Linked DNA regions of Nothobranchius furzeri. The protein of the gene in region 2 interacts with the protein of the main gene of each other region in a pairwise test. Links are inferred from orthologs where the notes say so. Each region holds a gene or a part of one and is shown on either strand. Other genes may lie near its edges.

What was found.
Region 1: the proteins of pex13 (region 2) and pex14 interact in a two-hybrid assay, tested with the Homo sapiens proteins (2 studies listed by BioGRID and IntAct, with this or other methods). The link is inferred for Nothobranchius furzeri from reciprocal best matches to the Homo sapiens genes PEX13 and PEX14.

The regions. Positions count from the first base shown.
Region 1 is NC_091755.1:29,686,105-29,690,644, forward strand, and holds part of pex14 (peroxisomal membrane protein PEX14), read right to left. Parts: intron 2,436-4,540; coding exon 2,319-2,435; intron 1-2,318. UniProt on the Homo sapiens protein: Component of the PEX13-PEX14 docking complex, a translocon channel that specifically mediates the import of peroxisomal cargo proteins bound to PEX5 receptor.
Region 2 is NC_091752.1:7,648,536-7,653,745, reverse strand, and holds pex13 (peroxisome biogenesis factor 13), read right to left. Parts: upstream 3,604-5,210; 5' UTR 3,501-3,603; coding exon 3,427-3,500; intron 2,826-3,426; coding exon 2,113-2,825; intron 1,880-2,112; coding exon 1,757-1,879; intron 1,320-1,756; coding exon 982-1,319; 3' UTR 749-981; downstream 1-748. UniProt on the Homo sapiens protein: Component of the PEX13-PEX14 docking complex, a translocon channel that specifically mediates the import of peroxisomal cargo proteins bound to PEX5 receptor.

The DNA.
Region 1 (4,540 bases), on a different chromosome or scaffold from region 2:
CAGAGTGAAATCAGGCTGGGGCGGCACAAAAATAGCGGGAGGCGGCCGCCATGCAAATTTGAATGCATGAAAAACCCTGAGAATGGAAGTACAGTATTTTCTTTCTAGCTATATTTTAATTTAAAAAACAATCAGACATTTATTTTGGAGGACACGACACTGGGTTTATGTCTTCATCTACTAGCCAACAGAGGGCGCCATTGCAGGTTGCCAAATACAAAAAAACAGTCCATTTGGCGTAGCGAGGCTGACCCTGTGGAAGATGGCGGACTTGGCAATTCAAGCAGCTGCTTCTAATTCCAGAAGATGTCGTTATCCTTCTCAGAAGAGGAGCGACCGTAAAAGATCTAAAACCAGAGTGAGTTTAGGTGAAGCCTACAACATGGACCCAAATTAAAAATGTCATGTGTCAGAAGCAAACCTGGTTTCCTGACGGCTGGAAACCTTGTTCTAGTGTTGCAACTACAACCGCCACACACTAGATGTCGCTTTGGTGTTTGTGTACCATATTCAACCGTTTAATGTGAACAACAACAAAAATTAAACGTAAGGGCAAATATTTTTTAAAAGTACTGGATACAAAATGATAAAAGAAAAACTAAAATGTGGAACCATCAGACAAAAAACCACTGCCTTTTGCTGAACGACTATGAAATGTTAAACATAATTACAAGTAAGTGGGGAAAACTGCTTCTTCCTTAAAAATATACATATATTATTTGTTAAAAAGCTCCTAAGGCAAACAGAAAAGTAGAAAGAGTGTATATGTGCATTTAGAAGTTGGCTGTCGTGCTGAGTGACGGATAATGTGAAAGTGTGTCATTGTGCAAGCTGTCATCTGGGTAGGCCAACTGTCTGTCAAGGTGGAAATTCCCCACTCAGGAGAGGCATTCAACTGAAAATGTCACTAAACAGCCAACATATCTAGAGAAGTATGAGTGAGTTTTTTTATTTACTCTGATGTAGCCAAAATAAATACAAATTTTGCAAAGCGTCCCCCTCTAAAGCACACTGTTGATATTCTATTGCAGGTCTGATTCCACCTAATGGGTTCGCTGAACATGTTTATTGCCTAAAGTAGGTAAACTACATTGATCTTTTGCCTTAGCACTTGTGATTTTATATGCAAATAAAACAGGAGACCACTCATGCAAGACTATATATATATATATATATATATATATATATATAGAATATTTTCAAGGTGAGTGTCATTTTATTTTCCCTGCTGAAGGGCAAGTTTCACTACTGCTGCCGCACTCATGAACCTGTAACCTTTCCCATCGAAAATTTTTGAATCATTCTTCAACATCCATATGATAACCACATAAATTTGGGTCTTCATCAACATTAGAGCCGGGATAGACTGTCACCTATCCCAGAACAGCAGGCATCTGAAGGGCCTTAGAGTCCTTGGGTTGGGTGTTTGACCCTGAACAAGCCTGACTGCATCACTAGAGGCTCTTCACTTGCTCTTTCCCCCCCTCCTTTAGGGCATCTCATTCTTGCACTGTCTTTCCCTTTTCTATACCACTTCAGCACTGCCATCTTCCTTTTTTTTTTATTTGGTCACTTAAGCTGTGAAACTGTGGACTCCATCCCCCGTTTTTCCAATCTCCTCTCAAATTTATTGGGTTCAGTGGAGGCCTTCCTGTCCTTCTACCATGTGGAAATAGAGATCAGAGTATCCATTACTGCGACAGAGATGGATGCGGGTCTCTGTGCACCATCCCCGTTAGAAGGACATCATAAGCAGGTAGCCCCCTCTTTTCAGCATGACCCCCCATACAAGACTTCCCGCTCTCACCTCATTATGCAGCTCCCTTATAGCCATTTTGATATAAAACCCCCTACAATGGACGGAGAGCTGCGAGTCTCCCTAACTACATGGCCATCCCATCAACATCACTTTCATTACAAAACATGAGATGCCAGGGAGTCAAGGACAGTGTGGTAATAAATGAGGGTGGAATACATCTGGAATCATTGTCATATGGGTTAAGCATTACGCGGACTTCATTCTGCATTGGTAAATCAGTGGACAGAATTCACAACCTCCTGAGGTAATAAAGATACAGGTTGGGGTGTGGGGTCTTGCTAAGGTGGAACCCCCTGAGACAGAGTAGCCCAAGGCTTCATGAGCTCAGATGATGTTCTTTGTTTCTAAATTTACAATTAAACATTTTCAAATTCATATATGTGCTGAAGCTTCTAATTTATCACTTCAAAGTTGTTACTGGAATGATAAAATGCACAAAAATGTAATTATTATTTAGGTTCATGGGTGCAAAAGAGCAGAAAAAGGCCTGAGTACTTACTGGGTGGTGCAGGAACTGCATATGGTGGTAGTGGGTGTCCCATGGGACTCAAAGGCAGGACTTCCTCAGTGCTGCCAGAGCGCTGGATGGCCAACTCTACCTCCCCATCCGTCAGCCCTGGAATCCACACAAATCCTTAAAATCATTCCCACTACTATTCAGCGCCTCCAAATTAGGGTTAAAATCCAAATGGCCCCTTTGCTGTAATAATGTAACTAAATACTTCCCAACCTTCTAACAAATTGTTTTAAGTACAATTCAGAGAGTATGTCAAATCTCATTCAATTTTACAAACCCTCGACTCAAAAATTTATTTTCATTTCACAATTGAGAAACACCACTGAGATTTTCGGAGACATCCATCAAAGGAAGTGGAGAAAGGTTCACACAATGAAATCTGAGACTGCTAGCCTATTAACTGCCACCAAAGGCAAAGAAAATAAGAGTCTGTCCACTTCTCCAGTTATATTTCCCATGTGGAGATTTCATACACCCCAGACAGCTAAAATGCATTATTTTAATTTCTTCATTGTAATGTAAATGTATTACATAATTTTGCAAATGCCAATATAATTTAATCTTCAGATATTTTTAATGATTTTAGTGATGATTAAATTGCAAAGGGCTCCCTGATGGAGAATCGTAGGGGAAGAGAGGAAAAAATCTAATATGAACATCTCCTTTTGTGGCAAGAAAGGATTTTATTTCAGGCACCATATGCTGCCATTGCTATGGGTCTCATTGTTTAATGAGTATCCTAGTCTAAACAAAGGAAAATAATTAGAACTATATTAAAAACGCAGCTTCAACTCATTTATAACAAAAACAATTAAGAGAAAATTACAGACAGAAAGCCAAAACTGAAACATCCTGTAGTTACTGAATGATGAGCTAATGGAAACAGTCACATTTAAATGATATCTTGGATTTTCATTGATTTAGAAAAACTTTTTACTATGCAATTACTACTATCTATGTGTAATGTAGGTCTTTTTTATTTCCTAAAGATTAAGGAACACAAAAAGGTCAAATGTGACAGGTTAATAGAAAAGTGACAGTTGTCATGAATTGGAGTTGCACGGAGGTCCGTTATTATATTTTTAGGTAGCATGCTCCCATGTGAATTGTCACAATAAATTTAGCAAATATTTAAGGCAGGAAAACTCTCCTACCTACAAGGAACAACTTCTATACAAACAACCTCTCCAGAATAATATCTGTTCATGAAGCTTATAGTCAGTTCTATATTGCAAGTGCAAGCTGACATAGATGTTTTGCCCTTTCAGGATTTGTATGATTTTTTTTTAATCCGTGAAAGTGATTGTCTTATCCTGTACTGTGATGTAAAGTAGGTAAAACATCTTTTTTTTCAAGCCTGCTCCGTGTCCTGTAGAGCTTCATGTGGGGCAATGGTGGCACAGGAGTTAAGTGCTCGCCCCGTAATCGGTAGGTTGCAGGTCACTGCCGTTGTGTCCTTGGGCAAGACACTAAACCCGCTGTGCCTGCTGGTGGTGGTCGGAGGGACCGGTGGTGCCTGTGTACGGCCTCTGTCAGTGTGCCCCAGGGCAGCTGTGGCTACAATGTAGCTCATCATCACCAGGGGAGAATGGGTGAATGACTGATGGTGTTGTAAAGCGTCTTGGGGTGGGGGGGTGGGGGGTGTCCCAGGAATCTAGAAAAGGAAATATCAAATGCAGCATGTAATTATGAACCAGTAGCATTACACATCTGCTTAGCACCGCAGAGCGTGCAATAATGCTACCCCTGAATTTGGACACTCCTATAGTTTCATTCTTCAGGACCTATGAGCTAGTGGCTAGTCCAAGTGCAGACAAACCCAAAGTGTACTGCTACCAATCTCAAAACTGCTTAGAACATTAAAGGTTTTAGACATTGCTCATCAGTCCTGTAGAAGTGCACATTACATTTCTACAAACATAGGAAAGCAATTAAATAGTAAGTATTAATAACTTTTATATAAGAAAAGACAATTAAAAGACTTTTAAAGCGACCAAAGAAGTTCCATTCAATGAGAAATTCCATGTTATCCACCCTATATACAGGTGCTGGCCAGTAAATTAGAATATCATCAAAAGGTTGAAAATATTTCAGTAATTCCATTCAAAACGTGAAACTTGTACATTATATTCATGCAATGCACACAGACCAATGTATTTCCAATGTTCATTACATTTAAATTTGATATTCATAAGTGACAACTA
Region 2 (5,210 bases):
AAAATGATGACTAAAGAACACTTCTGAGAGCCAATCAAATAATGTTGCTCCCTTTTTGTCTCACATTTTAAACTTTTGTGATGTGGTTCATTCTAGGCTGTTTTCAGCACATTCATCAGCAGTTGGGCAGTAAAAAAGTGCTTTATAAATAAAAGTTGATGATTACTCTAAACATGAACTTCAAAACTAGCTGATATTACCAAGTGATATTTGTGACACATCAGACTGCGTAAAAGCAGTTTCTATTAAAAGCTGGTGTCGTTTTGTTGCAGCTTATGAAATTTCCTTAACAGCCACAATAGTGCTTTATTTGGCCCAAAGGTTATTATGGTGGATACCAGAAGGCATACCTGTGCTTTAAAATAATTTATTTTTAAAATTTAAAACAGTTTATACTTTGCAGATTTAAAAAAATCTATCCTTTCCCTTATGAATTATATAAAATGTCCCTACATTAACACTGCATAAAAAAAAGAAACTGATAAATCAGAGTAAATAAATCAGACTTTTCAATTACAAATGATGATAAAACATCTGTTTGCTTATAATCTAGGACTTTTTTTTTCCATAAAGAACTTAAGACTTCTAATGTAATTAAGACTTCTAATGTAATAAATAATATCTAATAAATTATTAAAAAACGTACCTGTACAGAAACCACATTTCTGTGTGTTTTAAATCTCCTGTCATGATTGAGTTTGTAAGATTTAGTTACTGTTGTAGTGAAAATATAACAAATAGACAATGCTTAATTTTGAAAATATATTTCCTTTTCCTAAACTAATCAAGTTAAATATTTACATTGAGTGATTGATTAACCGATAAAATTGGGAAAAATTAGACATCTCTGAATGAATCAAAGTCCTTTCGCTTCACTCAACAAACACAGACGCCTAAAGCTCAGACAGATTAAATGAAAAGCTAATCTCAGACGAACTAAAACAGTGTTTGAATAACATTTTTCTCGTTCAGACTCGATCGTCACAGGTCATCCTTCTCCGGGATGTTTATCAATGTGTCGGAGGACATGCTGGAACTGAAAGAGGCTGGCGCTGCTCCATACGCCGACTCAAGCTGCTCTGCAGACGCCGTGGAAAGATCTCGGTTAAAATCTTGAGCTGCAGGCGAGTGCGACTGCGGAGTCGAGGCCGTTGCAGAAGCCGGCGCCATTCCTGGCTGAACCTGAGCAAGCCTCTCCATCTCGGCATGCCTGCGCCCTCTCCTCTTGCCAAGGACTTTCACGTAGTTGGCAGGAACGAGACCTGTGGTCTGACCGTCAACGCTGGCGAGCAACCAGCCACGCACCCGGGGTTGTTGCTCTAAACACGAGGAGGGGAAACAAGTTTTAGTCTCGAAGAAGTTGAGAAAATGTTCTGGACAGTGAACGTCACACTGTCGCAGGATGTCTATGAAAACAGGCTTGTCTGAGACGATGTGTTGAAGCTTTCAGATTATAGCTTTGGAGATAAAAAACAAAACAAAGGCGGATTCTGTTTCTGTGTCAGAGCTTAAAACAGATTAGAAACTCTCCTAAAGTGAAAACTGAAATCATAATTGTTCAATTAAACATCTTCATCAACAAAAATATCATACAACATTCAAAATATGAAATCTCATTTTAAAAGTAACCTGAGTGGACGACACAGAAAGGGATAAAAACCACACGAAGGTAATACTTTTCACATATTTTGAACTACAAATGCCGCTTTTTTAAACCAGTTTAAACTCGAAGACAGGTTATGTTCAAAGCTTCTACCTTTAGGGGCGAGGTTAAGCATATCTCCAGCCTGCAGAGAAAGCTCCTCCTCAGAAGCTGCTGAAAACCCAAACTCAGCTTGGGCCACAACGTGATCGTCCTCCCCGCTGGCCCAGTCAGTAGCTAAACAAACAGAACAATTTCACTGAAAGCAGGTAAAGACAACGGTTAGTGTTGTTGTACAAGCTGTGGAGTCCAAGTTGAACTGATTCTCGCCCGTCTGTCACCACTGAGTCTTTACTAGTCTATTTACTGAGAAGTCTTGTGTCAGAAAACAGCTTTAAACATCAAATAATGAGTTGGAATAAACACAGAAGCAGGTTTGGAGACAGAAGAACATGAAACACAAGCCTTACTGTTTTCTTCACTGGCAGCACTGGAGCTGAGAAGTTTCCAGATGAGGTAGGGGCCGCCGAGGACTACAGCAAAGAACAGGAAGACCGGCCAGGACTTCACACGCTGATCCTCAGCGCCTGCTCCGTTACCTCTAGATGAACTCGTAGCAAGAACATCACTAGTGCTGTCAGCCCACAAGTCCTCAGCATCTGCGTCTGGCCGCCCCCTCCTCAGAAGTCGCTGCAACCATCTGTACAGGTAACGCAATGTTCGGACAAAAGCAAAAGCTGACAGAACTCTAGTGAGGTCAGCACGCAGCCTCGTTAGATGGTTAGCGACATCCAGCACCGCTCGAAAACTGTTGTACACCGCTGAGAAGGTGGCGTCGAGCATCATGCTGACCGAAGAGAAGGCCTGGACGATGCTCTCAATGGACTGGAAGGCACCACGGCTGCTCTCCTCGGCCTGCTGCACAAACCGGCTGGGGACAACGTCCTCTCGGGGGGGGAAGTGTCTGTAGCCCACTGAGTTGAATCCACTACCGTAAGAGTAGGGGCTGTAGCCGCCATAGAAGGAACTCCCATACGGACTGTGCGAAGGCATGAAGGAGTTGTAGGATGGACGATAGGACTGCTGGACAGGCCGGGGGGGCACTGGAGGAGCCATCCTGGTCAGGACAGGAGGACCCACAGAAGTGGAGGCGACTCCTGCAGCGGGCCCAAAGCCGGTAGACCTATTTGGTGAGAAAAACAAGCTAAGATACAGAACAGCTGTTTCCTGTGCGTTTTCAGGAAGAACTAAAACATGCATGACCAGAGTTGTTGAAAAGAAGCTAAAATAATTTCACTCATTCACTGCCAGCCGTTTCCTGATCAGAAAAACCCTTCGCTGCCAGCGTTTTCTCTTTTTAAGTGCTCTGCTTTGGGCTAATGCCAGTTAAGCGTGTAAAATCAGTGGATCAGAGCAGGCGTGTTGATAAAAGGCATTTAAAACCACAAAAGACGGGCAAAAATCTAAAGTTAGAGGACATGTACACTAATGTAAAAAACAGTAAATGCTGTGAGTGGCTTTAACGTTTATTAAAGGCAAAGCAACAAAACGCTGTAACGAAGCTCTAGCTAACTACATTTTGATTAAACGGTTGTCGTAAACAACTTATGAGCTGCTGAAACACAACTAAGTCGTTATTCGAGCTCCGAACAAAAAGGACATTGGTTTTGATTGAACATGTTGTTTATAGTGGCCCTTGATCATTAGCGTTAGCATTTGGCTAACTTACGAGCCAGCTGTGACAGGTAAACACGCGAGAGCGAGCAAGTAACATTATTATTTACCTGTAATTTACTGGCGCACTCATAACTCTTGGAATGTGCCCTTGCCACGGTTTAGGTGGAGGTTGAGAATCCATTGCTAAATATTAGCCCGCAAGGGTAGAAATATAGCAATATTTGCCCTCGTCCCCAAGTTGTCTCTACTGTGGCCTTCTTCTTCGTTGGTGCTAAATTCTTACCTTCTTTAACCCAAGTATGAATCATTGATGCTTTTCTGCCCCCTTGTGGTTTTAATGGTAATAGCCGAGGCTAAAGGCTAAACCTCTGATGTGGTAATTTATTTCGCAGGAAAAATGCACACATTTGTTTAATTTGCCTTTTAAATTCAAAACATTATTGGACTAAACAGAGATTATTCCAGAGGATTACAATTTGTAAATCATTTTCTCTTTCGATCAGCGTTAACGTAACAATCTGTAAGTGGCCAGCAGAGGACGCTACACACAATAACAGAAATGTGAAACTATCTCTCAGCAGCAGGTTAAAGGTAAATATAATAAAATTTAATATCTGTGTGTGTGTGTGTGTGTGTGTGTGTGTGTGTGTGTGTGTGTGTGTGTGTGTGTGTGTGTGTGTGTGTGTGTGTGTGTGTGTGTGTGTGTGTAAAAAAATGCAAATAGCAACAGCACTTTTGTTTACATGGAAAACTCCCATCAGATTAAACAGCGAACTTTGTAGAATATTTGTAAAATATATTACAGTAAATAAGCAACTAACAAAAACAAAAAAATCAATACAAAAATCACTCTTCTCAATGTCACCCCACATTTATTTCTTGACATAATCTTTAAAATGTTTTATTTGGCACAACTCCACATCTGCATGAGGAAGAACAGATAATTTAGTGATGTTTTTACAATAATATCTTACAGGAAAAGGATAGCAGTACAGCATGAGTGCAGTTTTAACATCAGAATCTTTTAACCAAAACAAATTCTGATAACAAAAATCCATAGGATTCACAGCTCATACGTGTGTACTGTCACGTTAGGATTTCACTCTTTATAATTTTCTGCACCTAAAAACCTTCTTGATTAAAAATAATAATAAACCCAACAAAAACCTGTTTTTCATGCTGTTGCAAAAGAATCAAAACCTACTTGAAAGCTGGATTCAGAGGAACATTTTCATTTGTGAAAAGATGAAAACTAATTTACTATGATCTTTTTAAAAAATTAACTGAAAGATCAGACATCCAATTTAACTTTACCTGGAAGTTTAAACATCTGATCTAAAAAGGAGAACCAGTAAAAAACGGAGGTTTATGTAGAAAAAGGATATTCAGTTAAATTATTTCTGTTTGTTGGAAAACATTACATTTCTGTGATCTCATTAAAGAGCAAGTCACCCCCCAATAAACATTTTTTTGCTGATAAACCAAATAAACGAGTATCTAATCGTGCTGCAGACACGTGTCGTCAATAATTTGGCACTTCAGTGCATCTTAGTTAAAATTTAAATATTCTGCCTAAAACTGGCAGTGTTGTGCCATTGACAGATACAACTGCACTGTATTCTAATTTAAATCTGCCACCACTATTGGCTAAGAGGTATGCTATGATGCAAACTGGTACATTATGATGTCACAATGCTGTCGTGAGCCTGTGTGTGTCTGTATTTGTTAGCAGCTCCGCCCTCTCGGTCTGCTAGGCAACAGCATTTGTTGCATTTGTCAAACATGAAGTGGGAGTGGAGTTAGACTCTGGTAGGGGGTTGACTTGCTCTTTAAGAAAAAAAAATTATAAAACGCTAACAATGATTCTTGATGTCAATGCTGAAGCGGTTTA